Lytechinus pictus: one gene and its partners. The protein of the gene in region 1 binds, or shares a complex with, the protein of each later gene. Links are inferred from orthologs where the notes say so. Each region holds a gene or a part of one and is shown on either strand. Other genes may lie near its edges.

Evidence for each region.
Region 2: nuclear pore complex protein Nup98-Nup96-like (region 1) and nuclear pore complex protein Nup85-like share a complex: the UniProt entries of both Drosophila melanogaster proteins name them as parts of the nuclear pore complex. The link is inferred for Lytechinus pictus from reciprocal best matches to the Drosophila melanogaster genes Nup98-96 and Nup75.
Region 3: nuclear pore complex protein Nup98-Nup96-like (region 1) and nuclear pore complex protein Nup107-like share a complex: the UniProt entries of both Drosophila melanogaster proteins name them as parts of the nuclear pore complex. The link is inferred for Lytechinus pictus from reciprocal best matches to the Drosophila melanogaster genes Nup98-96 and Nup107.
Region 4: nuclear pore complex protein Nup98-Nup96-like (region 1) and nuclear pore complex protein Nup54-like share a complex: the UniProt entries of both Drosophila melanogaster proteins name them as parts of the nuclear pore complex. The link is inferred for Lytechinus pictus from reciprocal best matches to the Drosophila melanogaster genes Nup98-96 and Nup54.

The regions. Positions count from the first base shown.
Region 1 is NC_087249.1:39,827,355-39,834,657, forward strand, and holds the start of nuclear pore complex protein Nup98-Nup96-like, read right to left. Parts: upstream 3,011-7,303; 5' UTR 2,926-3,010; intron 2,764-2,925; exon of another isoform or gene 2,613-2,763; intron 797-2,612; exon of another isoform or gene 708-796; intron 1-707. UniProt on the Drosophila melanogaster protein: Part of the nuclear pore complex (NPC). Required for MAD import as part of the Nup107-160 complex and required for nuclear export of Moe probably via its association with Rae1. Plays a role in nuclear mRNA export.
Region 2 is NC_087254.1:31,799,144-31,806,377, forward strand, and holds the start of nuclear pore complex protein Nup85-like, read right to left. Parts: upstream 3,008-7,234; 5' UTR 2,949-3,007; coding exon 2,916-2,948; intron 1-2,915. UniProt on the Drosophila melanogaster protein: Component of the nuclear pore complex (NPC) that seems to be required for NPC assembly and maintenance. Required for nuclear import of phosphorylated Mad via importin msk.
Region 3 is NC_087256.1:7,089,889-7,097,289, reverse strand, and holds the start of nuclear pore complex protein Nup107-like, read right to left. Parts: upstream 3,023-7,401; 5' UTR 3,003-3,022; coding exon 2,880-3,002; intron 2,860-2,879; exon of another isoform or gene 2,847-2,859; coding exon of another isoform or gene 2,817-2,846; intron 2,667-2,816; exon of another isoform or gene 2,528-2,666; intron 1-2,527. UniProt on the Drosophila melanogaster protein: Plays a role in nuclear pore complex (NPC) assembly and maintenance. Required for nuclear import of Mad. Mediates the association between the nuclear pore complex and a subset of active chromatin regions adjacent to lamin-associated domains.
Region 4 is NW_026974140.1:2,132,995-2,140,676, forward strand, and holds the start of nuclear pore complex protein Nup54-like, read right to left. Parts: upstream 3,017-7,682; 5' UTR 2,949-3,016; coding exon 2,858-2,948; intron 1-2,857. UniProt on the Drosophila melanogaster protein: Component of the nuclear pore complex (NPC), a complex required for the trafficking across the nuclear envelope. Essential for the nuclear import of nuclear localization signal (NLS)-containing proteins in an importin alpha/importin beta-dependent manner.

The DNA of each region.
Region 1 (7,303 bases):
GTGGTACTTGATTAACCTAATGTCTAAGTTTCATGAACTAAATCCATAAATTTTCAAAGTTATGATGGTAATTCAACAAATACCCCCAACTTGACCAAAGTTCATTGACCCTAAATGACCTTTGACCTTGGTCACGTGACCTGAAACTCGACCAGGATTTTCACTAATACTTGATTATCCTTATGCCCAAGTTTCATGAACTAGGTCCATATACTTTCTAAGTTATGTCATTTCAAAAACTTAACCTTCGGTTAAGATTTTGAAAATAATTTTCCCAACATGGTCTAAGTTCATTGACCCTAAATGACCTTGGTCATGTGACCTGAAACTCGGGCAGGATGTTCATTAATACTTGATTAACCTTATGTCCAAGTTTCATGAACTAGGTCCATATACTTTCTAAGTTATGATGTCATTTCAAAAACTTAACCTTAGGTTAAGATTTTATGTTGACGCCGCCGCCGCCGCTCGTTCATATCATATTTCCTGCATCACAGCCCCACTTTTGCTTTCAGAATTCTTAGCACATCGGCCTCATCACATGGATCATGAACTCGGCAACATTAAAAAAACTCGACGACAGGCGACAACAAACTCATATTAATTTGATTGGAAGTTTATATTCTGAAATTTATATACCGGTACGGTACCAAACGTTACGCCTGCGTTATCTCGCTTTAATACATAATATACAGAAATAACCTTACCAGAACAGAACTTGAAGTCAAAATATCCAGTTTAATCTAGCCTCATTTCCGTCTGAATCTGGTATGCTGTATTGCGCTGTTATACACACATAATACCCGCGCCTCGCTCAGCTCGCGAGCGAAGAGGGAGCTGTTCAAAATGGCGTCAATCCGGAGCAACGAAAGTTCAGAATCAGCCAAACAAAAAGTCAGTTCCACAAAAGAGAGCTCTCCAGAAAATGTTGAGAAACCGTCTACAAGGAAGCCTATTAAACAGGTCTACAATGGTAGAAGTTTCATGCAAGATATATTTTCGGAGTCAATTTTAGGTATGTAACAAAAGCTAACATTGGTTGGCTTGCCCAGTGTCACTGTCAGTGACAGTCGCAAGCGGCCACGCTGCGTAAACCGACATGTAGGACCCATACGAGAAGATCGTTCATATCATATTTCCTGCATCACAGCCCCACTTTTGCTTTCAGAATTCTGTCTAGCATTCAATGTCTTGACATGAATTTTAGACAAGGGAATACGGGAAGGTTCAAGATACATGAAATTTGCGATTTTGTTCAGGTGTTTTTCTTGTCTGCTTTGAACCACTACCGGTAGTTCTCAGTACGTGTGTGGCGGTATCTTACAGACAGCAAAATAGGGGGAAAAAATGCTAGTAGGCTACCGGTATACCGTATTTTCAATGGGAGCTCTGGGCAGGAATAAAGTGAATGATAATTAAAAATAAAAAGTCGGAAGGAGTAAAGATGGGGATTGAAGATTGATTTTGAGATGATGGATGATAGAGAGAAATGAAGGAAAGGCAAATGAAAGAAATTAATTGTCAAATAATACCAATAATTTGTCAAACAAAATAACTTCCACGGAAAGGTAAAGCGCCAGCTTACGTTGACGTTGCGATAAACATTACACATGCATGTCTTATTCGGCTAGCTGCACCGCGCTGTGCGATCGATTGGCGTCTGAACTTTGCCGCGATGACTAAAAAATGACAACAAAGACAGAGTCACACCATTAAAAAAAGTCAGTTTCATGAAGGTAGGTGCGTTTGTTACCGTGATATAACTTTGAGGGACATTTACGGCAGATACCGGTAGTCATAGTTGCTTCCCTTTTATACCCGCGGCTCATACCCCTCTAAACGGGATTGCCCCAAGCGGCTACGCTCGGCCACCCGACGCGAGTTGAAAACTGGTAGTGGTATCGGGCTGAGATTGGCTTGGCTCAGACCTGTCACCGTGTATAAACCGCACCCCCGACTTTTGATTCTGTCCCGCCGAGAAAAAGGTGCGGTTAATACACCGTTACTTACGGTACTGCATTACTGGATTTGAATTGAAGTCAGAATCTAAACCAAGAATAAGATCTAACTTAAGTTAAACAGCCCAGTCACTCACCCTAGTAGTATAATAACAGATCTCTGCAGTCTGCTACATGTAGCTCAGCTCAGCTAAGTCGTCAATCACAATCACTTCTCATCACATTCACACTCACAGTCGACCTAACTCAACTGTGTTAGACCTGTACTATGTAGGCCTACATATCTACATGTATGGTCAGTTCCCCCATGTCTGTGCGGTCTCCCAAGTCTGCGCACCCGCGTATCTGCGCGATTCTAGTAAAAGAAGATACGCAACGAGCACGAACTTTACACATGCAATACATAGACAGGTATTCATAAAAAAATCCGACTCAAAATGGTGAAAAAATAATGAATTCAGGGCATTTCATGTGACGGCCTCAAAATACAGCCTTTCTCATCAAAATCTCTGAATCGTGTGCAAAGTGAATGAGTGCGCAGACATGGGGTACCGGTACCATTTTTTTTTTCAATCTGAAAATGACTGCCCAAGGTTTTTTCAAGAAAATCCTATATTTTCTTTTATTTTTTAATGAGAAATTTGGTATACTTACTCTCAATAATATAAGGAACATTATTATCCAAAAGATTTTGTGAAATAAGAAGAAATTCATGTTAAATCTTAACTCAAATTGTTAGGTGCGCAGACTAAGGGCCCACCATCATACCTAGTCCTACGCTTAGCACATCGGCCTCATCACATGGATCATGAACTCGGCAACATTAAAAAAACTCGACGACAGGCGACAACAAACTCATATTAATTTGATTGGAAGTTTATATTCTGAAATTTATATACCGGTACGGTACCAAACGTTACGCCTGCGTTATCTCGCTTTAATACATAATATACAGAAATAACCTTACCAGAACAGAACTTGAAGTCAAAATATCCAGTTTAATCTAGCCTCATTTCCGTCTGAATCTGGTATGCTGTATTGCGCTGTTATACACACATAATACCCGCGCCTCGCGCTCGCTCAGCTCGCGAGCGAAGAGGGAGCTGTTCAAAATGGCGTCAATCCGGAGCAACGAAAGTTCAGAATCAGCCAAACAAAAAGTCAGTTCCACAAAAGAGAGCTCTCCAGAAAATGTTGAGAAACCGTCTACAAGGAAGCCTATTAAACAGGTCTACAATGGTAGAAGTTTCATGCGAGATATATTTTCGGAGTCAATTTTAGGTACGTAACAAAAGCTAACATTGGTTGGCTTGCCCAGTGCAGTGTCACTGTCAGTGACAGTCGCAAGCGGCCACGCTGCGTAAACCGACATGTAGGTCCCATTCATAGTTCCTGCTGTTGGGTGTACAGCCTATACAGGAGGCGCGGCGTGGACTAGCCTTGATCTCCATGATGATATTTATTAATATTTTGACATATACTTCATCATGGAGCCTTGATGAACCGCCTGCCATATATGTATAAGAGACTCATCAAAACAATGATGGATTTCCCTAAGGCCTAGGAAATCCATCTAAGATAAAAATCACGTAGGCCTAGGCTAAATAAATGTTTGTCACTTTGTGATTTTGGCTGCCGTGATTTTCTTTAAAATTTTAAATTATTGCCTTATTGGCAAATTTTAGTTTTACACCTTCATACGCCTAATGCGTATGAAGGTTTCAAAAATTGGTTAATAAAAAGGTTAAAAATTGAAGATTTCTTACCAGACGTCAGACCGATCTCGTGTAGATCCCTCGATCCGTTTGTCAACAAAGCAAATACAATAGGTCTGACCCTTAATTGTCACTTGATCGAACCGCATCGTTATGACATGTATGACGTACCTTTGATTAGCGATGTTACAAAATGCCGTTTTGAAGAACAATTTATTATAGATCCACTAATACTAAAATTTAATACGTGATTATAATAATTATTTGGCCTTGAAATTCCTGGAGAAAGAAAGTCTCACAATTCACAAGATTTTGCAGGGATGAGCATGATCGGTTAAAGGAGAATGAAACTCTTGGAGCAAGTTAGCTTTTGTGAAAGCAGAAAAATCAAAGAATAAGATCAACAAAACTTTGAGTAAAATAGGACTAGCAATAAAAGAGTTATGAGCATTTGAATGTCGAGATCACTAATGCTATTAGAGGTGGGCTATAGAGGGTCAATATTAGGTCACATTTTCAGAACATGCTCATCACACCCTAGTTTGATGAGTTTGTGCCTGCTGACACCATTTTTGAAAAAAAAAATTAAAAAAATGTGAAATCCGGGGTGCCCTGACCGAAAACGTAAAAAATCCAAGATGGCCGCCGTTTTGGCTAAAAAGAGACAATTTTGGCTGTTACTCGGTCATTTTTTTGTCTATTGTAATAATTTTGGTGTCTAACCCCATGTTTTAGGGGTCAAAGAAATTGAATATAATGATATTTTTGGTGTTAAACCTAATCTTCTACATTATACTCACCTTTTCCCCATATTTAATGTTAAATTTTCATTCTCCTTCACCCCTACCCCAACAGCAATTGTACTTTTTTCTGTATTTTCTTCAAGTCATGCTAGCTATGATATTCTTAATAATGAATTCTAGCTATTAAAGGTGTTTTTTTTTTTGTATTTTAAACAATACAGCAAGAAGTATACAAATAACTTACATACATGTATGTGTCAAGCAGAAAACCTGTATGTGGCTGGTGAATTTCGAGTCGACAGGCATGGTAACTGTGGAGCCAATAGTAATACTGTATCTGCTTAAAAGTACCAATTAATAAGATTTTGGTCATTAGACCTCTAGTCAGAGAGTACATACAGGTCCACTGTGGGTGTACATATTTAATTGTAAAATGACTTGAATAAGCCTTCTACAATATGCCAATTGTCAAGCACAAATGTCATGTTTCTGCTGGAAGTTGTATCCCATGAGCCAATTACATTACATGGAAGGATCTGCATCGGCAGTACTGTATGTACATCATCTTTCTTTGGCCATCTCCATTGCTCATGCTGATCTTTTCCTTTCACTCTTTCCATGTGCTCGATTTCATATCCGTCTTTATTTTGGTCTCGACACATACCAAGGTACCAGTTTCGTTTATCTTTGTAATCCCATATCACAATACAGAACTCATTGATGCCCACTTCTTTATCGGTATTTTCTTCAAGGTTGGAATGGGCAGTTGGCTGTGTGATCCCACTGGATGGCTTTAGATTGAATGCATTCACCATGTCATCTTCAGTTGGAAGATCAGGGGCAGGGAGATTATCAGACTCTCCTCCAGTCAATAGAAGAGTCAAGTTCACCTTCATTTGTGTTTCACATAGTTGGTTGACCTTATACAAGTGTGGGCGCACCAAGTAATCTCGATGGGAGATGTGTCTGCGATATGACAGCTCTGCACGTAACATAGTTTTAAGCTTGGTGGGATCTTGGGTATCCAGGCATTCCTGAAGCTCATCAACATTTGTTAAAGGACCTCCCCATGTTTTACATTTCTGTAACAGCCTATGCACATACTCTACTGCTTGTTGTGCTTGGGCCACATTTCGCTGAAGCTTTTCCTGAGAGAGGATGTTGCTCTTCCACCCATTTCTGTTCACTCTTATCCAACACTTTTGCAATGTTATGGGTCACTTTTTCCACAGTTACTACACCAGCCTTGTTCAAAGTCATATCATCTCGAATACCCTTGCCGGTGAAGTTTCTATTGGAAGCAGCTGCAGACCGTTTTGCGAGTTTGTCAAACTTTGACAGATCCCGCTCACACTGCAAATTGTTTGTAGGTAGATTGGTGAGATCTTCTGGTGTGAGTTTGTGGAGTTCAGTTGCTCTAGGTTCTGCCAAACCCGTTTCTGCTGTTTGCTGAAATCCATACTCACGTCCTCTCTGAGTGGCTAAATCTTTGGCAGCTTGCTGACACATTTGCTGCAGAAGATACATGCCTACAGTTGTCTCTGGTTTTTCCACTTGGAAAGAGTATGGTACCTTGTATGAAGACAGCGTATCTGTCTTGTTATTCAGCAGATCATCATGAAGACGTGGGAGGATGGTCACTAGATCATTCTGAGAGCTGACTTCTACCATATTAAGGAATGGGAGGGTTATGCAGTATGTGAACCAGGCCAATACCTTCAATGCTAGCATGATGAAGTCACACTCAAGGTACAGATGGCAGGCTTGAACAAGTAGGTTGTTGGATTTGGTGTTCTGCAATGTTGCCTCATACTCTGGGATGTGATATAGAATGGCCGCAGCAGTGTATCCCATCTGAGCAAATCGGCGTTCTTTAAAGAGGCTGTGCTTCTTTGTTTTGCCTGCAGATGCAACCTCACACTCGAAGATCTCCCACATGGACGACTTGTGTCCATCATTACTTACTAGTTTTGTCAGTGCCTGTATTGCTGCTATGATTACACTCTTCTTGAGGAAGGATTTCAGGGTCGGCATGTGTGCAATTAGCTTTTCACGAAGCCCTAACTTGACTTCATGCTGAACAAGGGTAGAGATATTGCCTGCATCAAATACCTCACATGTGTGGCTCACACACAACAAGTGTAGAGGTATGTGCTGACTGTTAAGAGATGCTGCTATTTGAGACTCAATGTGTAGGTTTTTGGCAACTGAGTCAGTCATAAATGCAAAAACCTTCTTCCACAGATCCTCTTGTGAGGCTTGGTTGCACGTAGCAAGAGAGAGACGCTTGATAACTTCAACCATTAACCTTGTGATATTTTCTCGATTTTCAAGAGCCATAGACAAAGGTCGCATTCTGAAGAGTTTCCCACTTGCTAGTCGGACAATTATGGATGTCCACTCTCCAGAAATCCTACGCCGTGTTGTAGTATCATAGTGTATAGTCACTTTGTCTTCACCAGATGCATCAAGAATAGCCAGTGCAGCATTACGTTCTTGCTGTATTGCTTGCATGTGTTTCTCACGTGCAAGGACACGGGCTGAAGGCAGAACATGCTGGTAAGTTGCTGCATACTCTGCAGCTTTCCTAGGACGCTTAGGAGACTTGCTAGTAGCTTGACCTGCAGTTTGAAAATAAAAAAGGACACAGCTTTTGTACTAGTACAAGAAACATTTTTTTTCTTTTTCATATTCACTTTCTCGTTCTCTCTTTATCATGATTTATTATTATGCAATGCTGTAATCTATGCTAACATTATCCTGAATATGTTGGCTGATTGGACATTTAGAAATGTTATATCTTGATCAATTTATACATTGTATTTTGTTCCCTTGTAAACTGAATGCAACTTAGCCTACAGGCTTGAATGTATTACTCACCCAATTC
Region 2 (7,234 bases), on another chromosome or scaffold:
ATTTATGACACCTCCGAACCTGTCTTAACTTCTTTCTTAATGACGTAGTGGCATCACGTGGGTAGACTATGACATGCGAAAGTGCCTAGAAATTTTAAAATTATAATCTTACATAATCAATCATAGAGGTTGAAATTACATCACAAAACAAGTGGGTTAATGCATTCAATGATAATTGTAAAACAAAGAAACTATAAAAACTGTTGGTAAACGCCACAAAACCATTAATTTTGAAATAGCAAAATGATTTAATCGATAAAGATTTTACCACGTCAGGCCATCCATAACTGAACTCGTATTTGTTGTTTTCAGACCCCTCTTAACAGTTGGATGAATTCTATCTCTAATTTATGCATATAATTTGTCCAATATCGTATCTTTCGGTATCAATGATTAAAAATGATTCGTTAAACTATATTTTGATGACGTTTGGAATCGTTAAAGTCCGTATAATTATCATCATTTTACAAAGAAAACCGTTATGGTTTACTTTCGTAAACAATTAAAATTGGGTCTCCCGGGGGTACCCATCTCAACGTCCACAAGTGATTTTTTAGTCATGAAATGAATTATTCATAATCTAATTTTCTCTGCAATTGAATGCTCCAGTCTTCATGGTCTAAGTATGTATGATGCATAATTCACCTGTGCTATTATTTTGAAAAGATTTATTTCCCAATTCATCATAATATTTGCAATTTTGTAATAATTTTCTATTTGAAAATTATGCTATTTTGTGACTAAGGCTACGTCTCGTCTGCTCTTTTTACCGATATTATCGATATCAAGGTATTCTAGTTAGGAAGCCTTTCGAGAAACAGGTTTAGTAAGATTGGTACTAACTCCGTGGTTGGTGGATAAAGATATGACTAACTTGTCCATGTGTTGAGAAACGGGCCCCTGGTTTCCAAATCTTTATAAAAATCATACCATCAGAAAGAGCATAAAAAATCCTATTCGACTCTTTATGGACAAGTTTTTGGCATTAATAATAAATTTATAACAGCTCTCGGAAGCTAAAAATTTGGATTTGTGTGTGTCCATTTCTTAACTACACAGTCTATGGCAGAGAAATGCTGAAAATTGACCTAATTTCATTCTTCTTTTTTGCAGCCAATAATCGGATTTTTTTCAAAAATGTTACATTTCTGTCAGTCTGAAGGTCATTTCTCTTCAAATTCACAAAGAAAATGTGATATTTTCTTGAAATAAGAAAAATAATATTTTTCTCCAGACACCCTAATAGAAGATGATTACAACTATCGAATTCATATTTTTAGTGCAATCCAAAGACAAAAAAGAAGGCCTCAAAATATAAAGTGTCCGGACACCCGACCCCCCATCCTACCACTCTAGGCGACACCCCAATACTTACCCGTGCTAATAAACTGGGACTCCACTCACGCGCGTTTGGGCCTCCCTAGCTTAGAACTAAGCACTAATATCACCTTAAAAACTAAATCTACAAGGTATGTATAATCTATTTACAACTTTAATAATGTTTAATCGGTACTCACCGGTTCTTTTGTTGCATTTTCAGACCATTTCTCACAATTCTTCGTAAATATTTGCGGCAAATTTTGTCGCCATAGACAGCTTAGCATCCATCTTTATTGATAAATGGAGCGCCCTTTACGATAGTTGTTAATGCCGCGGAGAAATCGTTAGGCATTTTGGCCTGTGTTCAAGGCGTTCTTTCTGTTTTATTTTTTATATTGAAGATTGTGCATTTGTTGAATAGCGCCGTCTACGTCAGGTATGAGATCGAGTGTACAAATACACTCTTCCAAAATAATTATGATTCCGACCTGGCGCTGTTTAACTTCAATCTCTTTCACCTAAATTAGGGATGAATGCTAGCATTATAAAATATATATTATTAACGTCTGACGAAAAGAATAACCAACCGATCAGCTGACGAGAACGCGAATCACGTGATCTTCATATCAGCTTCGATCGCGAGTCAGAAGAGAAGAGCAGCTGCCCAGAAAATCAGGAAAAAGCCGTGAAAATGTAAGTTCCCCTTCATTTCTTTCATTTTTTGTTGTTGCTAACGATGCATTTACACTATAAAATTATAATTTAAATAAGAGAAAGGAATATAGCTTGTACTTGTGATATAATGTATAAATATCCTGTTCTCAGAGATTTCTAACCAAAAATACTACTGATGTCGCCTATGAGGTCCATACATGTAATGTTGGACCTCATTGGTACTAGGAGTGCATCCTACAGGGGACTCAATGGCCATATGTGGCATATGTTTATGTGTATTAAGTTTGGATAAAACAGGGCAGTGAAGTTGCGCGACAGCCGAGGTAAGTCACTGTTTTTGTTCCTTTTAACTTGATTTTCCTCGTTTTTTTGGCAATCGATGCCAAGAGGGAATATTAATTTGCATTTCGGTCGCGTTAATTTTCAAAAGTTTGATTCATTAAACTTTTTAAGACAAAAAATAAAGAGCCCCGACGGGGGGATTTTGCATTGTAAGTCCCGGCCCTAATCTGCTAATGGTGGCTGCACGATAGCGAGCAGTCTGTGTATGAGGAGAAATTAAAAAAATAAAAAATGTTAAAAAACTCCTCGAAACAGACGGCTGCCAGCTGTCTAGGTCTGAACATGCTGAAGCAGTGAAGGGAAGCTCCACCGCGCCGCTCCCGCTGGTTGGCATATCAGATCAGTTTCAGAGCCAGAGTTCGACTTCGAGACAGGTCCTACTCAGACAGTCCCACATGTTAATTTATTTGTAACGGTTATGAAGATAAAACCCAACAAACAAATTCCATCACGGATTTTGACTGAAAATCTCGAAATAAAACATTTTCAGTTGACCTAAGATATAAAGCGAACAAACAAATAATTACTGATTACCACAAAAATAGATAACGTACCATAATAACGTTAAAAATACGTACCAAAAATGGAATTTCCCGCTCGTACGCCGCCATTTTGTTCCTTTAAAATCGCTGAACGCGAACGTCGATCGCCGGCTATCGATTACTAGTCTGCAGGCACAGACCCTGATTGAAATTTTGATCAACAAGTATGTCTCCACGCAAAGACTAGCACATACAAAACTTGCTGTTTCAGTAAACGAGGCATAAATAGGCTGCAATTCAGACCCTTAACTCTAGTGAAGGGTTTGCACAGCAGACTAATCGATTACTGGATGGCGCTGGTCGGCGCGGGGTGGCCGAAGGTTCGGGGGGGGGGGGGTTCTTCTTTTTCTTTTTATTTGGCAACCATGAATTTGACTATTTTCGCCATCATAAATATTGCATTATTCACGTTGTTTTCTTTGAAAAAAAAAATTATATAAAGTAAAATTCAAATATTTTTTTTTTCTTTCTTTTTCTCTTCTTTTTCTTTTCTATTTATTTTTTTTAATTATTTTTTTATTTTTAGGGTATCGAGGATATAAAGTCGAGTAGGTGTGTCTCAAAAAATTAAAACCAGGGCTTTTACTCAAAATATGTTAGATGTATAGGCCTACTAGTATGCAAGTGAACCTAGGATGGAGATGACAGAGAAAGGAAATGAGGAAAATCACATATCCAATCCTACACCCGTACCGGAGTATGGGGATACGTCTGTCCCGTTGATGTGAACATCAACGTCTGTGAAGTCTCGATCTTTCCCGGAGACAAGACGCCTTTAAATCCTACCTACTTTGGGAGACGAGCCCTTGTAGGATGGAAAGTGATTTTGGGTGAGTTTGGGGGGGGGGGGGGAATTGAATACATGTATTTATATATATTATATATATATATATACACACATATATATACTATATATCAATCCATATATACATTAACTGAATGCATTCGTGTTGAGGGTTCGATTAGCCTCTTGTCGAGGCCCTGGCGGCTGCTTCCCGAGCGAAGCGAGGGATATCCTAATTCGCTCGGGAAGCAGCCGCCAGGGCCTCGACAAGAGGCTAGGGTTCGATCCGTTCGACCCCGGGAATGTCGAGCCTCGATCGAGAGATTGATTTTTTTTCTTCAATTAAACCACCTCAAGCACAGATGGTTGCTCGAACCCTGTGTCTCAGCAACTCGTCGTTTTGTCATAATAGCCACCTTTCGCAAACCTCAGGGACGGTAAGATTAGGGTCCCCTAATCGTACATTCGATTTTCACGAGTAATTGTACATTATAATCAATGGAATCAATCATATAAAACTGTTCTACATTCATTGCTAAGCTTTGTGATACAGGCCCTATATAGATCTGCTTTTCGTGTGCAAACTCTTTCACGCGACACCCGTTTTCATGCATGTGTACGTCTGGTCATCATCGTATATGCCCCCTGAGCCGGCGGCGAACCTCTACTAGCTATGACAGCTGGCTGGAGATATTCGAAATGCAGGGCCCGGGGCAGGGCCCACAATAGATTATGACTTGGATAAAAAAGTGTTTTTTCAAACAAATCGAGTACATATTGAGTGAGGAAAAACTTACTGAATTAAGGCTTAGATAATATAGATCATTACAGTCCATCGAATCGATATTGTATTTAATGTGGATTATTGGTGGATCACTGGCAATTGATTCCATGGGTCAGATGACCTCTCCAGCTGAAACCATTTCGCATGATTTGATATCTACATAGCATATATACCTCTGAATACCAGCCGAAATTGCGGGTTTTTTCTTTTGTTTACTCCCCTACACAAACAATATGCCTCTAGCACACAATGCAATGTAATTATGTTTTACTTTCCCCAGAAATGGGGGATTAGATTCAAATGGGGACCACTTCCATTGATGAATGGATACCAGGCACGACCATGCGGTTTCGAAAAGCAACCTAAACAAGGATCGAAGCAAGGTTTTTCCAGATTATGAAAATGCATCTCTTAAGTATTTGGCTTGTGAAACCCTACAAGTATTGGAAATATATCACTTTTTTAAACATTGACACCCTTATAACGTTACAAAGGCCTATATACTAGTACGTAACGTACTTGCCCACTCTGTCCCCTTTTACGCGTGGTTGCGCCTGGTATCCACTCGGCAATGGAAGTGGGCCCCCCAGGCGGCCTCTCGAGCTCTGGGAGGAGCCAAATGTGGCTCTGGAAAGTCGTCCTAAATCGGATATATCGCTGTTACCATAGAAGCAACCATAATTTTGCACACGAAACGCATATTGAATGTTTCCGTTGCAGATGCGAAACGTAAAAAAATCTCATGTCACACAATTTGCATTGCAGGACAGAGTTTTACGACCATGACGACGGGCCTAAAAGTCTCTTCCAAAATCAACTACCGTCATAAATAAGCGTTCGCGTTCTCCAACGAAAGGTCGGGATTATCTAAATTCTCCCCATTCTCATATCTAGTTCAACGGTATCATAGACAAATACAAATCAAATATACATCACATATAGGCCTGCATAAGCAAATACAAATACAAATCAAGTACAAATCAATTACAGAATAATTACAACACATTAATTTGTAGAATATAAACGTGGAAATGAGGGAATAAAGAAAACACTACTTAATTGTATAGATCACAAGGGCGGAAATCTCTCCTCAGGGGTGGGGGGTGGGGCACAACCGAGTTTTCCATTGTTCTTACATTCACACACACACACACACACACCCCTACACACACACACACACACACACACACATATATATATATATATATATATATACATGTTGTACATGTATAACTTTACATATATATATATATATATATATATATATATAGTATAGTAATAGGGTGGAGCGAGTTGCTTAGATTTTAGTTGTACAGACTGTTTCCCCCCGAGGGTTCATCAGCTGGTGAACCCTCGGGGGGAAACAGTCTATACAACTAAAATCTAAGCAACTCGCTCCACCCTATTACTATACTACATGAAGCTTCTATATGTACATCACATGTGGTTGAGCACTTTTCAGTAACTGCAGTTTCGTATACAGTCATTATATATAATATATATATATATATATATATATATATATATATATATATATATAAAGCTTAAACCTATTTGCTCACACATTTTTGTTGGTTATCCTACTCTGAAATGACATTTGTGTCTTTGGAACCCCGGGCTTTGGAAGTACTAGATGATTGCGGCCTCCAAACCCAATTTATAAATAGACGCCTTATATCAGTACTCCATGCGACTGCAAAAGATAAGTCGAGAAACGCATAGCCAAAAACGGTCCTCACAAAAAGTGATAGCATAACGCGACTTACGACCCGTGCCTCTTATTGATAATGTCATGTAAAGCACTTTTTTTTTTGGGGGGTGGGCTTTATTTTGACACATCCCTGATGCTGATACACACCCATCATCATCGTCATCACCATCATCACCATCATCACCATCATCACCATCATCATCACCATCATCATCATCACCATCACCATCATCACCATCATCATCACCATCATTATCATCACCATCATCATAATCATGTTCATCGTCACCATCATCATCATCATTATCACCATTATCATCATCATCATCATCACCACCACCATTATCATCATTATCATCATCATCATCATCATCATCGTCATCATCATCATCATCTTTTCACCCTCCCTATTCTTCTTCTTCTTCCGTGAAAAAGCTAAGCAACGCTAACCGGATGTAATTACCATTATTATGTACCATTCAGTTAAGTGTTAACCGGCGTTAATATAGGTTTACAATCAACTGTTAGCGATTTCTATGTTTATGGTAGCAATTCAAGCAGTTATTAAACTCTTGCGGTGCGATTCATTATCTCCATTCATGTTCAGTTTCATATCGGCAACAGAAGAATGTACTAGCATGATAAGGACACTGTGCAGTCTGGTATGAAGTAATCTGTCTTTAAAAAACATTGTCTTGTATCGGAAGCTATTGGAAACCAAAAATCGATTTCCATTATCGTTATAACATGAATTGCAATTACTTAAAAATAACCTTAATGATAGTGTATATTTGTTAGAAGAGGAATTTGCACTAAAATTCATCATTAATCAAAAGTACTAAAGCCCACTATTGCATATTGAGACATTATATTTGAACAAACTGTTCAGTTTTCTTGTTCAAAGTTAAAATAGTAGATTTCCCTGCCACTTCTTTACACACATCATTACTTGTCCTGTTTATAATTATATGGGAAATTGCAGAGTAGCGGACATGACATTTTGTATTTCAAAGCATTACACTTCAGAAGTTTTCGCTCTTCTCGCTGGATTTATCAGACAAATTTTACATTCAGTT
Region 3 (7,401 bases), on another chromosome or scaffold:
TTTCACTCACAGTCACAACTGAAGAAAAGGCAACGATGGCTTGGTCTATGAGGAAAAAGGATCCAGCTCTACTGGATATTCAGCATTTAAGGAATCCCTTTTCATTCCATCTTTTACTCTCCCAGAGCAACAATTTTCTTTACAAGTGATTTCAAGATAAGAGATTGATTGCAAGTCAGTCAAATCTACTGTGATATTTGCACAAGACCTTGTAAACTTGTCAACTGTGCTAAAAGGAAGGAAAGATATGGCGGTGTTGGGGAAGTGTGACATGGCAACACGAGCGGAACTTTTCTGTTCATAAGCATTCATTCTTCAAAGGAGTCCATTTTGATGTCAAGGAAATATTCATCTTTCTGAGGGAATGGAAGCTTGGAACCTCCTTCACAGATGTGCAGTAGAGTCGGGAATGGACTACAACAAATCGGCGGTGGATTGGGCAAACTTCCTCCGTGACCAATGCCGGAAATTTGTGAGGGACAGAAGTACTCCGAGGAGAGGTGGAGATTGACGAGAGCCATTTTGGATGGCATACCAAGTATCACCGCTGCGATCCGAGAGGATTGAAAATATGGATCTTCGGGATGGTGGAGCGGGGGAGTAACCGGATCATCGTATTTCCCGCACTCAAGCATCGTCACCGTCGCCAAACCCAACTACCACCAAGCGCCTGGCATCATCTCAGTTATCACCTTCCTGCTACTACTCACAGAGAAATAGACAGAAAGCGAAGAAAAGCAAGAAGACAAAGACAACTTCCAAGGAATCATTTGGAAGTTACGGCACCCTGGAGCATTCATTCCTGTGGGAAAGAAAGGCAAAGAGAAGAAAAAGAAATCAGAAAATCCATACAGGATGTCCAACTTTGTTACCTTGGAATGGTCGGATGACAGTGATTTCCAATAACCATGTTCTCTTGCTACACTTTGTTTCGATATTGGACTTAACAACTAAGCAATTATTTTGGGGTCTAGAGCGCGATTTAAAGCCCCGAAATTGATCAGGGTGCACAACTCTACGCGTCCGATATTTTGAAACTAATTTCCATTTACCATAATTTTTTTTTATTCTAAAACAATTTAATACAGTCCGACCTCTCTTATCCGGACACGTTGGGACCAGCACCAATCCAGATAAGGGATTTATCCAGATCTGGGAGACCCAATAAATATTAAATACACGCAGCTGCTACCTCCCCAACATTAATGGCTGTAGCTACATGTTATCTATTGTAGTGGGCATACAGACAGTATTCACTGCAGTGTCAGTGCAAATTATAGGCGGTATTTTTACGGAAATGAAATCGATCGATGGCCAAAATTGTTCGATAGTTTACCTGCTAAAATGAGTGAGGTATACATCGAGCATACCTCGAAATAAAGAAAATGACTCAATGAAAGTTTTACAATTAGATCATCGCGGCTATCGCAGCTTCGCAATGTCAGCCATTGTTATGACTGTAGGCTCAAACATGATAGATGGCGCTGTCCGTATCAAGGCCTAGTGTTAGCTAGCGAGACATGCGTTGTTTTTCCCGGGAAAAACAAAAAAAGAGAACGTGATAAAATTATCCTGCCCAAGTTCTTTCTGTGATTTTCATGAAAAATAGTGACTTAATGTTGTTGTACCGGTATGTAGGTAGACTATATTGGAAAATATATGTAATCCAAGTGAGTCTGTGTATAGGCCTACTATACTTTATAGGATTGAGTTTAGATTGAAATCTCATTTCCTAAGCTAACGTACTAGATTGAATTGAAAAAAAAAATCTTGGCAAGTGTGCGTCCAAAAATAGATCTGGATAAGGGGAGGCCGGATAATACGCCCTCTACGGAAATAAACAGTAGAGGCGCACAGCCAATATGGGAGACTCTCTCCAATAGGGGAGACAATCTCCCACATTGCCATTGGAGACTTGCTTTGCAAAAGGACAAAAGAAACAACACCAACAAAAGCATGATTTTTTCCACCCAAAATTTTGTCTCACTGAGGTCAGAAGCCCAATTGTTTTGTGTGTGATTGACAACAAAAATCCTTATCAAGACAAAAGTAGACGGTGAATTTTTTAAGTAGACGGTGAAAAGGGGTAATTTCTCATGAGGAATCTGCTTATCACATTTTTATTTGCCGCCAAGGTAATCCTTTTGCAGCAAATGTAAACAAAGGAAATTGGTCTCCAAAACTGGAGACTGTCTCTAAAATTGGATACCAAAATTCTTTACAAAAGTCTCTGATATTGGAGATACTCTCCCACATTGGAGATAGTCTCCAATATTGCTTGGGCTTGGCTGTGCACCTCTACTGATAAACGTCATCAATGATTGCCTTTTTGTTTTGGTCCAATTATGCTTAAGAAGTGTCCAACATTTTTGGGCACTATACTATATTCAATAATCAATATTTAAATGTAGACGTAGTTTACGATAGACCCCTCTAGTCGTCTAGAGACTAGACTATAGTCTATAGTTTCTTTTTCTGTCTCTTTTTTATAGGATTTACCGACAAGATAAACGTCAATCATGCATACTTTCTGCAATGAAGCGATGACTTGCCGTCGACCGTCTAGGCCTACTTAATTAATCCAGGGCCAAACGCAGTTCGGTATACGAGATTAGTAGAGCATACATACTAGCCTCGTAGTCGTACTAGTGCGAGTGGGCAATAGGCCATAGGGCCTAACTTACGTAACGTTGTCGTTAGAATCTAACGTCGTTAGTTACTAAGTTAGGCCACTGGCCGCAATTCGCAAGTAACAACAGTCAACACACATAAAAATGAGTAGGTGGGGCAACGCAATGACTGTCGGGTAGGCCTACCCAAAACTTAATAGATATCAAGAAATTCATGTAAATCAAATGTTCCACATTGATGAAACGAACCTTCCAAATATCTGCCATTGTGGTATCACCTGGCTCAACAAAAGAACCGGAAATACGGTCTGGAGGACGAACAGCTGATTCTTTTTTTCGCACATTTTTCTTTCCCGCCGCGAGTGTTGCCATTTTACTAGAAATTCGTCCAACTCGTTTGAACTGAACGTACCGGTACCACGCGTCGTGCGCTCGCCACGCTCCGGCCGTGCATGCTGAATTAAAAAGGGATCGGAAGCTTCTATTTAACTCTATGATCTGGGGAGCGTTTCATCAATATTTTCATCCGACAAGTTGTCAGGTCTGACAACTTTCCTTCATAATGATAGGATGAGAGGCACTGTTACCATAGTAACTGTCGGATAAAAGGATGGGGGGGTGGGGTGTCCGGACACTTAATATTTTTGAAGCCTTCTTTTTTGTCTTTGGATTACACTAAAAATACGAATTCAATAGTTGTAATCATCTTCTGTTTTGTTCTCTATAATATTACCTAACATTTCGTACTAAACATTTTATGAAACTTTGCTTGTAAATTTTTCCAAATGACTTTCTAAAACTGATCGTCCGGACACACAACCTGTCCGGACACACAACAACTGGGTATACTTGTCGGATAAGACAAGTCCTTTCATGAAACGCTCCACGGAAGTTACCTCAGCGTTCGTTGTAAAATAATTTTAAAAAGATCTAACGTTAGGTGGAGGTTTTGTGGGAAATCCATCAAAAATTATAAAAGTTATTAAGTTTAATGTTCAGTTTAACTTTTTATTTGTGAAGTCTTATAAACCATCACTACCTTCTCTGAGAAGTATAGTATTATTACATAAAAATAACTGTACATAATATAAAGTACGAATTGACCACTTCAATTTATTTTGCACTGGAGCCGTGACATATCATTATTTTTTGAAAATAGGTCTACCGTCTAGTCTAGAGTCTAGACGGTAGACCTATTTCAAAAAAAAAAAAAACGGTAGTCATGTGCGAACAGCTTTTGTCTAGACTCTAGACAAAAGCTGTTCGCACATAACTACCGTTTTTTTTTTGTTTTTACTCACCTTACAATAGAAGGCGTATACGGGGGACGGCTGGCAAAAAGGGAAAAGGAGAAAAGGGGAGAAAGAATTAAAGAGAAACGTAGCGGGGGAAGAAGAAATTAATTTGTAGATCATAGGCGGATCCAGGGGGGGCCGAGGGGCCCGCCCCCCCCCCCCCTATTGGCGCGGAGCAAAAAAAAGGGAAAGAACGAAAAAAGGGAGAAAAGGGGGGAAAAGAGAGGAGAAAAAAGAAGAGGAGGAAGATGAGTGAATAAAATATGATGAGGAGAAGACTTGGAAAATAAAAAGAATCTTTCATATGTCACTGTATAAAATTTTCGCTCGCACTTCGCGCTCGCAAGTTTGGAAGTGAATATACAAAACATACTTCACCTCGGAAATCGAACTTTCATTATTTTGTGTGATTTACAAATTGTTTCTAAAAAGTGCTTTATAAAAATGTCAGTTTTATAGTCTGAATATTAACATTTTCTGATCGTGCTGCGCGCTCGCAAATTTTGATTTAGCAGGTACCTATTATTTTCGTGTATTCCATAAAGTTGTCAAAATATCACTTTTCAGGTGTATTGTCAAAACATATCAGCTAGATTTTGATTGGCGAGTTATATATTTCTCAATATTGATTATACAACAAACAACTTAAAATCCCCTTTTCATGACAGTTCATCAAAAATTTTGGTTCGCGATTTGCGCTCGCATTAATGGTTAAAATATATTAACTTGATGCATCCTATATTTATAATTACAAAAGTTCTTGAAATGTCCAGTTTTCAGGCCATAATATCATCAGATTTCGCGCCCTCATTAGGCATTAATGAATGAGATATTCATTTAATAATTAAATTGTCCCCTTTGTTTCATCTCGCACTTAACAAGAGGAATAGGAAGATAGTCATCATTTTCATTTGCATATCCTAAGGATGTCCCGGTCCTATGTTAAAACTCAAAGTAATAATTATTAAAAATATCAGCTCTTTATTAAGTGCGATCCATATCCACCTCACAATTTTCCTACAAAGTGCTTTAAATATAGAGCTGAAATTGACTCTTTTTTTCAGATCGGAATATCAAATAGTTTAAACTCGCGCTTCGCGCTCGCTTTGATTTTCATAATAAAAAATGTATTTAGAATGCCTAGATTCTAGGTCTAAATATGAAACATGCGCGCGCATGTTTATTCAGATAGTCAACTTGTTCTCTATTTAAAGGAAAAGTCCACCCCAACAAAAAGTGGATTGGAATAAAAAGAGAAAAATCCAACAAACATAACATTGAAAATTTCGTCAAAATCGGAGGTAAAATAAGAAAGTTATGGCCTTTTAAAGTTTCGCTTAATAAGTTTCACAAAACAGTTATATGCAATCCTGGTTGGTATGCAAATGAGGGGACTGATGACGTCGCCACTCACTATTTCTTTTGTATTCTACTATATGAAATATTTTGATTTTCTCCCCCTTGTCATGTGAAATCGAGTTTTATTCCTTCCTGAACATGTTGAATTAACATTGTTTAACATTATGTGGTTCAGTCAAGTTCTACATTATTGTCAATTCTGTAAAATTTCAAATATTGTATAATTCAAGCAATAAATAGCAAAAGAAATAGTGAGTGATGGACATCATATACTCTCTCATTTGCATATCACTGAGTTGTGCATATAACTGTTTTGAGAAAAATACGCGAAACTTTCAATGTCACAACTTTCTTATTTTACATCCGATTTTGATGAAATCAGCATTATGCTTGTTAGATTTTTCTCTATTGATTCGAATCAAAATTTTTCTGGGGTGGACTTGACCTTTAAATCATTATCCAGTTTCAGATCACAATATAAAAAACTTTCTGCTCACGCTTTGTGCTCGCATTATTATAATGTAGGAAGGCCCCCTATTACTCATTCTTTTCATGATTTACAAAACATGAATAGAGTGTCCCGTTTTTAGGTCTAAATCTCGATTTTGTCCGCTCGCGCTTCGCGCTCGCATCAATTGTTTCGTTATATACCTATCTTGTTCACGATTACAAAAATTGATTAAAATTTTACATTCTTTACGTAGAAATGTCAAAATTTTTCAGCTCGCGCTTCGCGCTCGCATTATTTGAATGTTGAAATATGTAATGTCTTCATGACTAAGTGCAAGCAGTCCTTAACAGGTACATTTTCGATCAGTTCAAAACGTATATAAAAATGTTCTGCTGGCGCTTTGCGCTCGCATTATTAATGTAAGGAAGATCCCCACTTACTCATCCTTTTCACGATTTACAACACCTGAATAGAGTGTCTCGTTCAGTAGGTCTAAATCTCGAATTTTTCAGCTTGCCATTCGCGCTCGTATCAATTGTTTAGTTATATACCTATTCTATTTTAACAAAAAGTGCTTAGAATTTCCATTCCTTAGGTAAAACTGTCAAAAAATTTCAGCTCGCGCTTCACGCTCGCATTATTTGATTTTTAAAATATGTAATGTCTTCATGGCTAACTGCAAGCAGTCTTTAACAGTACTTTTTCCATCAGTTCGTTTTTGCTTGCGCTTCACGTTCGTAGTAATTATTAATTTGCATACACATCTTTTTCATGATAACATACATTGCCCAGAATCAAATATGTTCAAAATTTTAGAAAAAATACATAAGATTTCCAAAAAAATTTAGCTCGCGCTTTGCGCTCGCATTATGTGAATAAGGATTATGGTATTATATATTTATGTTTATTCATAAGAATAAAGCTAAGAAGTGACTATTAGGACTACCCCTTCAAAGAAACCAAAAATCCCGGCAAAAATCATCTTCGAGCGGCCGATCGGGGAAAATATGGCTGAAAAAAAAATTCCGGGCCCCCCTATTGGCGAAGGCTGGATCCGCCCCTGTATATTGGATCATTATGTTATTGTATTATAGAGCCCAGCTACGCCTATAATAACGTCACAAAACATAATTTGTTCTCGCATTGCTCGCATTGTCTGTTTATTGATCCTTTTGTTAAAACATCACGTTTCAAGTCAAATAGGCCTATTAAGTTATTTTTTTTTATGTAGTGACATATATACTTCTTTCTCATGCCTCGCCCCCTTTTGAGGTCTGAATATAAAACATTTCTAGTCGTGCTTATGCATGTTTGCATTAGTGCATGGATTGGCGAGATATGCTCTTCATGAATTCTTAAAAAACAGTTCTTTAAATTCCCCCCTTTCTGGCCTGAATGTCCAAAATGTTAAGCTTGCGCTTCACGTTCGCATTATTAAAATGAAATATGTATGGTCTTAGTGAATTCTTACAAACAATCCTCTTTACTACTTTAGGTCTAAATTAAAAAAAAAATCAGGCTGCGCTTCGCGCTCACATTATGATTAGTGAGATACGTATATCATGCCTTCACATTGACTACAAAAAGAGCTTCACTAATGATGTGTTAAGGTGTAATTCTAACTAAATCAGCAAGTGCTTGGCGTTTGCATTCGATGAATATGGTG
Region 4 (7,682 bases), on another chromosome or scaffold:
TTGTACACTAAAATCTGTATAATACTATAATTAATTAAAATGAAATGAAGCATATTGATTAAATGAAATTAAGCTTTGAAAGCCCATAGTCTATAGATTATTTCATTAATACATTGTGCAAATTCTTCTCACCCCTATAGATTGACAAGACTCAAAAGTATGTATGTATATGTATGAGGAATGAACTTATAAAATGTCAACTTACTTTTTTGCATTCAATATCAATGATTTAGAGTAATTTGGGGGAAAATATGAACTTTTCTATTGGAAATTCAGTAAAAAAAATTGTAGTTATATCTTACTTACTCCAAAAATGTATTTAAAACATCAAGAGCTTAAACTGTACTGTATTAGGTGTATAGTTTAATTGATTTACAGAAAATTTCATCGTTCGTTGGAAAAAAAAAACGTTTTAAAACGATTTAAAACGTTTTAAAACAATAAAAAACGTTTTTTTCGTTTTTTTGAATAAAAAACGTTTTTTATTACAACCCTGCGTGTGGAGCACGGCGAAACCAAGCGAAGCGATGCATGAGCCATGACTGAGGATTCGCACGACGATGTCAAGAGCGAAGCCAAAATGCAGCCGTTCCTGATCGCGATATTTGGACCTCGAAATGTGACTGAGAGACTTGCTAGGACATTTGTGAACAGTTACTGGTGGTGAGGTATGGTGGTAGTGGTAATCGACCGGTGCGAAACTGCATTAGCGCCCGCGCGACCCACTACTACAGTAGGATGGGGGGTCGGGTGTCCGGACACTTTATATTTTTGAAGCCTTCTTTTTTGTCTTTGTATTACACTAAAAATATGAATTCAATACTTCTATTTTGTTCTTTATAATATTTCCTAAAATTTTGTACTAAAAAATTACGAAACTTCGCTTGTAAATTTTTCCAAATGACTTTCTAAAATTGATCGTCCGGACACACAACCTGTCCGGACACACAACAACTGGGTATACTAGTACATGTAGTAGTACTACAGTACTAGGGACAGTGATTTTCCGCGATCGCGGAAAACGAACGGAATTCACGGAATCGGCCTTTTGAAACGGAAAGCGGCTTTTCAAACGGAAAATCACAGAAAACTTGTTTTTTCTCAAAATGCACAAAATATCAACAGAAATGAATCCCAAATCCTCAACAAAATACGAATATCAACTGAAAAAAACACGATCTCACTTTGCAACAACAATCATGACAATCAACAAATCGTAACAATACTGCACTCGAGCCCCTCCATCACTCGATCGTATCCAAATTAGTTTACACTGACGTCCGCATATAAGGCAGAATTCGGCCGTGTGTTGCTGCCCTCTGCGTTCGGTCATGATACAATGATCACGGTGATTCAACAAATCCAAAATGGCGGATAGGCGGAAGTCGTCGACTGCTCAATACGATGTCCGAAAAGTCCCCAAATCAGCGATAAAATCCCATGAAACCATAAAATAATGCTAATAATATGAAAGGTGAGGATGTATTAATGTTGATTGTGTTTCTCTAAATAGTTTTTGAGCTCGAATCTCTTCGATTAAAATGGATTTTAAAGCGATGTTAGTACATTGGTAGATGCAAATTTTGACCAGCGCTAGCATTTTGACATCGCGCTACTCATTGCGTATTGGTTTTCAATGTAAACGGAATTGTCACTTTTTCATGTACACAAAGTCTATGGGGAAACGGAATTTCCGTTTTCAGACATGCTGAAACGGAATTTGTGATTTTCTGAAACGGAAAAGGCATTTTTAGAAACGGAAAATCACTGTCCCTACTAGCATGACTAGTTAGAAATCCACTGCCAAACGCGGTTCATGGTGCGAGGTTAGTATACTAATACTATTACTAACCTCGCAATACGTGTGAGTGAGCCACACACACCAGGCGTTTAATATATGGTCAGTTCCCCCATGTCTGCGCGGTCTCCCAAGTCTGCGCACCCGCGTATCTGCGCGATTCTAGTAAAAGAAGATATGCAACGAGCACGAACTTTACACATGCAATACATAGACAGGTATTCATAAAAAAATCTGACTCAACATGGTGGAAAAATAATTAATTCAGGGCATTTCATGTGACGGCCTCAAAATGCAGCCTTTGTCATCAAAATCCCCGAATCGTGTGCAAAGTGAATGAGTGTGCAGACATGGGGTACCATTTTTTTTTCAATCTGAAAATGACTGCCCGAGGTTTTTTCAAGAAAATCTTATATTTTCTTTCATTTTTAATGAGAAATTTGGTACACTTACTCTTAATAATATAAGGAACACTATTAACCGAAAGATTTTGTGAAATAAGAAGAAATTCATGTTAAATCTTAACTCAAATTGTTAGGTGCGCAGACTTGGGGCCCACCATCATACATCAACCATCCAGATCCAGAACTGTTACTGTTATGTTAGTAAACCCAGTTGTTGTGTGTCCGGACAGGTTGTGTGTCCGGACGATCAATTTAGAAAATCATTTGGAAAAATTTACAAGTGAAGTTTCATCAAATGTTATTACAAAATGTTAGGAAATATTATAGAGAACAAAATAGAAGATGATTACAACTATCGAATTCATATTTTTAGTGCAATCCAAAGACAAAAAAGAAGGCCGAAAAAATATAAACTGTCCGGACACCCGTTCCCCCATCCTACTGTTGTTAGCGCCGCCAACGCAACGTCATGCACAGCGGGATCGACACAGAAGCTGCCCCTACGGCGTCGGGCATGTTGGGCCTCATTTTTGGTCGGGTGACTGTGTCCGGTCAAATTCTTGCAGTCTATGACAGTAAAAAACTTGGTAGGCCTAACAGTTAGACGTCTTATTGATATATTTTACATGGAGTCATGATATACAAAATATCTCACCTGATGTCCCAGTTGAGGTAGAACCAAATCCACCGAAAGATGGTTTATTTTGCCCGCCAAATGTGTTCGTACCGCCAAAGTTGAACGACATCTTGAATGATATTGTGAATACAAAGTTTATTCGAAATTTTCGATAGATGGCGCTGGCACAACTTTTGCAATAGTGTCCCTATACAGGGACACTATTTTGCAAGGCCTTTTATATACATGTAATATTATAGGGCCTTGAGTTTTTGCAGATTTTTGCAGTCTTTGAGAGTAACATAACCAGTGGCGTAACTACGGGGGGGGGCATGAGGGGCACGTGCCCCCCCCCCCCCCAATCGGCTGGCCAAAAAAAACGTGGAAAAGGAGAAAAAGAGGGAGAAAGAAAGAAAAACGTAGTGGGGGATGAAAAATTATTGTATATTATATTATAGTATCGGTATGTTACATTATATTATACCGGGTATTACATAAATAAAATAATTTTCATAACTTTATGAAACATAATTTGCTCAGGGCCTATGTGTTCATCATTCCTGGTGCTTGCATTGTCTGTTTAATTCTTGGTGTACTAAGACATCCCCCTTTCAAGTCAATATACACCAAATAGGCATATAGTTCCATGCAGTTATCATTGTTTTAGCTAGGTAGTGGCATGATATGCTTCTTTTTCATGATTACCTAAAGTGATTACCCCCTTTTAAGGTCTGAATATAAAACATTTCCAATTCATACTTACGTTCGCGTTAGTGGATTGGTGAGATATATTAGCTCTTCATGAATTCTAAAAAACAATTCCAAAAATGTCAGTTTTTCTAGTCTGAATATCGAAAATTTGATCGCGCTTCGCGCTCACATCATTGTATATTGAAATACTTATGGTCTGAGTGAATGCCTGCGAGCAAGCATTAGAATGCCCCTCTTCAGGTTTGAATTTAACAAAATTTTCAGCTCGCGCTTCGGGCTCGCAATATTTGATTAATGATATACTTATCATGTTCATGATTATACAATGACTACAAAAAGTGTTTCATGTTTTTAAATGTAATTCTAACAAAATATGCAAGCGCTTGGCGCTCGCATTAGATGGCTGTGGTGAGATACGTATGCTGTTCATGAATTTCTAAAAAAAACGTCCTATCCCTGTTTGGGGTCAATATATGCACACAAAAAATCAGCTCACGCTGTGCGCTCGCATTGTTTGTTCAGTGACACAGGTATGTATCATGATGGTAAAAAAATAGCTTATAATGTCTCCTCTTTAGGTCTGAATATAAAAATTTCAGCTCGTGCTTCGCGCTCGCATTAATCGATCAGTGTGATACATATCCGTTTAATGGCACAATCTTTAAAATTTCTCTTTCAGGTCAGTATAGGCCTACCTGGCAATTGAGCGCGCTACGCGCGCCCATGCACTAAGTGAGACATAATTTCAGTGCTGGTGCCCCCCATGCCGTGACCCACGGTACGCCACTGAACATAACAATTCAGAAATCTACCCTGCAGCTTCGGCCATTTGTTTTTTAGTATTATTGTTTCAAGGGCTTTCTTCTTTTAAGCAATCATTCTATGAAGTTTACAAACATTGACATATCCCAGATAGCAACTAGTATCTGGGGCCCATATGGGAATCATGTGGGCCTACTGGGGCCCATATGTACCATGTAAAACCCATATGTGGCCCATATGGTTTGTCCCACCTAGAACCCAGATAATAAAAACCATATGGGCCCCATGTGGTATCTATATATATGGGCGATGTGGTCTTATTTCAGGGTCGACCGGGCCCATATAGAAACATATAAAACCCATATGGGGCCTATATGGGTTTTCCCACCTAGAACCCACATAATAAAACCATATGGGCCCCATGTGGTATCTATATGGGCGAAGTGGCATAATTATGGATCGCTAGCTGAGCCCATATAGGAACATATAAAACCCATATGGGGCCCATATGTGTTTTCCCACATAGAACCCACATAATAAAACCATATGGGCCCCATGTGGTATCTATATGGGCGAAGTGGCATTATTATGGATCGACTGAGCCCAGATAGAAACATATAAAACCCAAATGGGGCCTATATGGGTTTTCCCACCTAGAACCCACATAATAAAACCATATGGGCCCCATGTGGTATCTATATGGGCGAAGTGGCATAATTATGGATCGACTAGCTGAGCCCAGATAGAAACATATAAAACCCATATGGGGCCTATATGGGTTTTCCCACCTAAAACCCAAATAATAAAACCATATGGGCCCCATGTGGTATCTATATGGGCGAAGTGGCATAATTATGGATCGCCTGAGCCCATATAGGAACATATAAAACCCATATGGGGCCCATATGGGTTTTCCCACCTAGAACCCACATAATAAAACCATATGGGCCCCATGTGGTATCTATATGGGCGAAGTGGCATAATTATGGATCGACTGAGCCCAGATAAAAACATATAAAACCCATATGGGGCCTATATGGGTTTTCCCACCTAGAACCCACATAATAAAACCATATGGGCCCCATGTGGTATCTATATGGGCGAAGTGGCATAATTATAGATCGCCTGAGCCCATATAGGAACATATAAAACCCATATGGGGCCCATATGGGTTTTCCCACCTAGAACCCACATAATAAAACCATATGGGCCCCATGTGGTATCTACATGGGCGAAGTGGCATAATTATGGATCGACTGAGCCCAGATAGAAACATATAAAACCCATATGGGGCCTATATGGGTTTTCCCACCTAGAACCCACATAATAAAACCATATGGGCCCCATGTGGTATCTATATGGGCGAAGTGGCATAATTATGGATCGACTGAGCCCAGATAGAAACATATAAAACCGATATGGGGCCCATATGGGTTTTCCCACCTAGAACCCACATAATAAAACCATATGGGCCCCATGTGGTATTTATATGGGCGAAGTGGCATAATTATGGATCGACTGAGCCCAGATAGAAACATATAAAACCGATATGGGGCCCATATGGGTTTTCCCACCTAGAACCCACATAATAAAACCATATGGGCCCCATGTGGTATCTATATGGGCGAAGTGGCATATTCCTGGGTCGACTGAGCCCAGATAGAAAAATATAAAACCCATTTGGGGCCCATATGGGTCCTCCCACGAATCCATATAATAAAACCATATGGGCCCCATGTTGTTTCCATATGGAAATCGCCTGATCCCAGATAGAGACATATCTAAGCCATATGGGGCCTATATGGGTCTTCCCACCTAGAACCTACGAAGTAAAACCATATGGGCCCCACTTTGTATGTATATGGGATCGCTTGAGCCCAGAAAGAAACGTATCAAACCCATATGGGCCCAATATATTGGTCCTACCTGAAACCAAAAAATAAGTAAACCATATGGGCCCCATGCGCCATCTATAGGGGCGATGATGTTTATCGCCTGAGCCCAGATAGAGACATATCAAACCCATATGGGGCCCATATGGGTCCTCCCACGAACCCACATTATAAAACCATATGGGCCCCATGTGGTATCTATATGGGCGATGTGTCTCATCGCCTGAGCCCAGATAGAAACATATCACACCCATATTGGCCCCAGCTGGGTTCTACCTAGAATCCATGAAATAAAACCATATAGGCTCCATGTGGTATCTATATGGGCGGTGTGGCTTATCGCCTAAGCCAAGATTGAGACATATTAAACCCATACGGGGCCAAATGAATCCTCCAAACTACAACCCACATAAAATAGTAGAACTAATAATTGGCCATATGCAGTATCTCTGTAGGCGATGTGGTCTGATATAAATCTATGATGTCATGAGACAGATCATTGTAGATCGATCACAACCAACTTCCTGTTGTGATGAAATATGCTTTGCTCATATCTAAGATCTTTTTTGTAAAATTACTATAGATTAATAATAACATTTTCTTGAAAATGCAGGATGATCGATCAAAACTGACTTATTGAAAGTGTGCTGCATGTTGTTCGCAACGAGATTCTCGCTGCGAGCATCATGCAGTATATTTTTAATAGCAGTATACTAATCACAGCCAAGACATGATCAAGATGTAGTTTAAAGTATCCATTACCAAGATCTTATGATTAGACTGTTCACAACCAGAACCTTGTTGTGCAGTAATGCTCACAACCAACAATCTTACTCAAATACACTTTACATTGTTGACAACCAATATCTTGTTGTGATGCAGTATAATTTCGCTCAAAAGACTTGATTGGAATATATTGTAAATTGATTGCAACCAAAGTTTGTCATGGAGTTCCCATGCAAGATCTCATTGAGATACCATCTCGATTGATCACAAAACTAGTTGATGCATTGTAGTCTGGCCACAAACAAATTATATTTTAACTCTATTCACTAGCAAGAGCTTATCGAGGAACATTTCTTCGATCACAAATATGATCCTATTTTTGCATTGAAGATTGGTCAAAACTAAGACTGTATTGACATGCTTTGCAAATTGATTTAAATTCTAACCTAAATACATTTTTATTTAATCATAAACCAGATAATGCCAAGTCAATTCGTATTGAGATGAATCAGAAAGCAAAGCTAAAGCTTACTTATTAATTGGCGAAAACTTTCCTTTGCCAATACGACAAATGAATTTCATTAATATTTATCATTCTCAACACATTTATATATTGGGAACGATAGACATGCTTTGCCACAGTCTAAATCCATGGAAAATCAACTATCAATGTTGTGATAATGCAAAGAACTGTTCAAATTAAGTTTTGTTCCAAATGATATTGGCGTGATCATTATTCCTCGATAGTGCTTTGTGACATAAGTACGATAGCT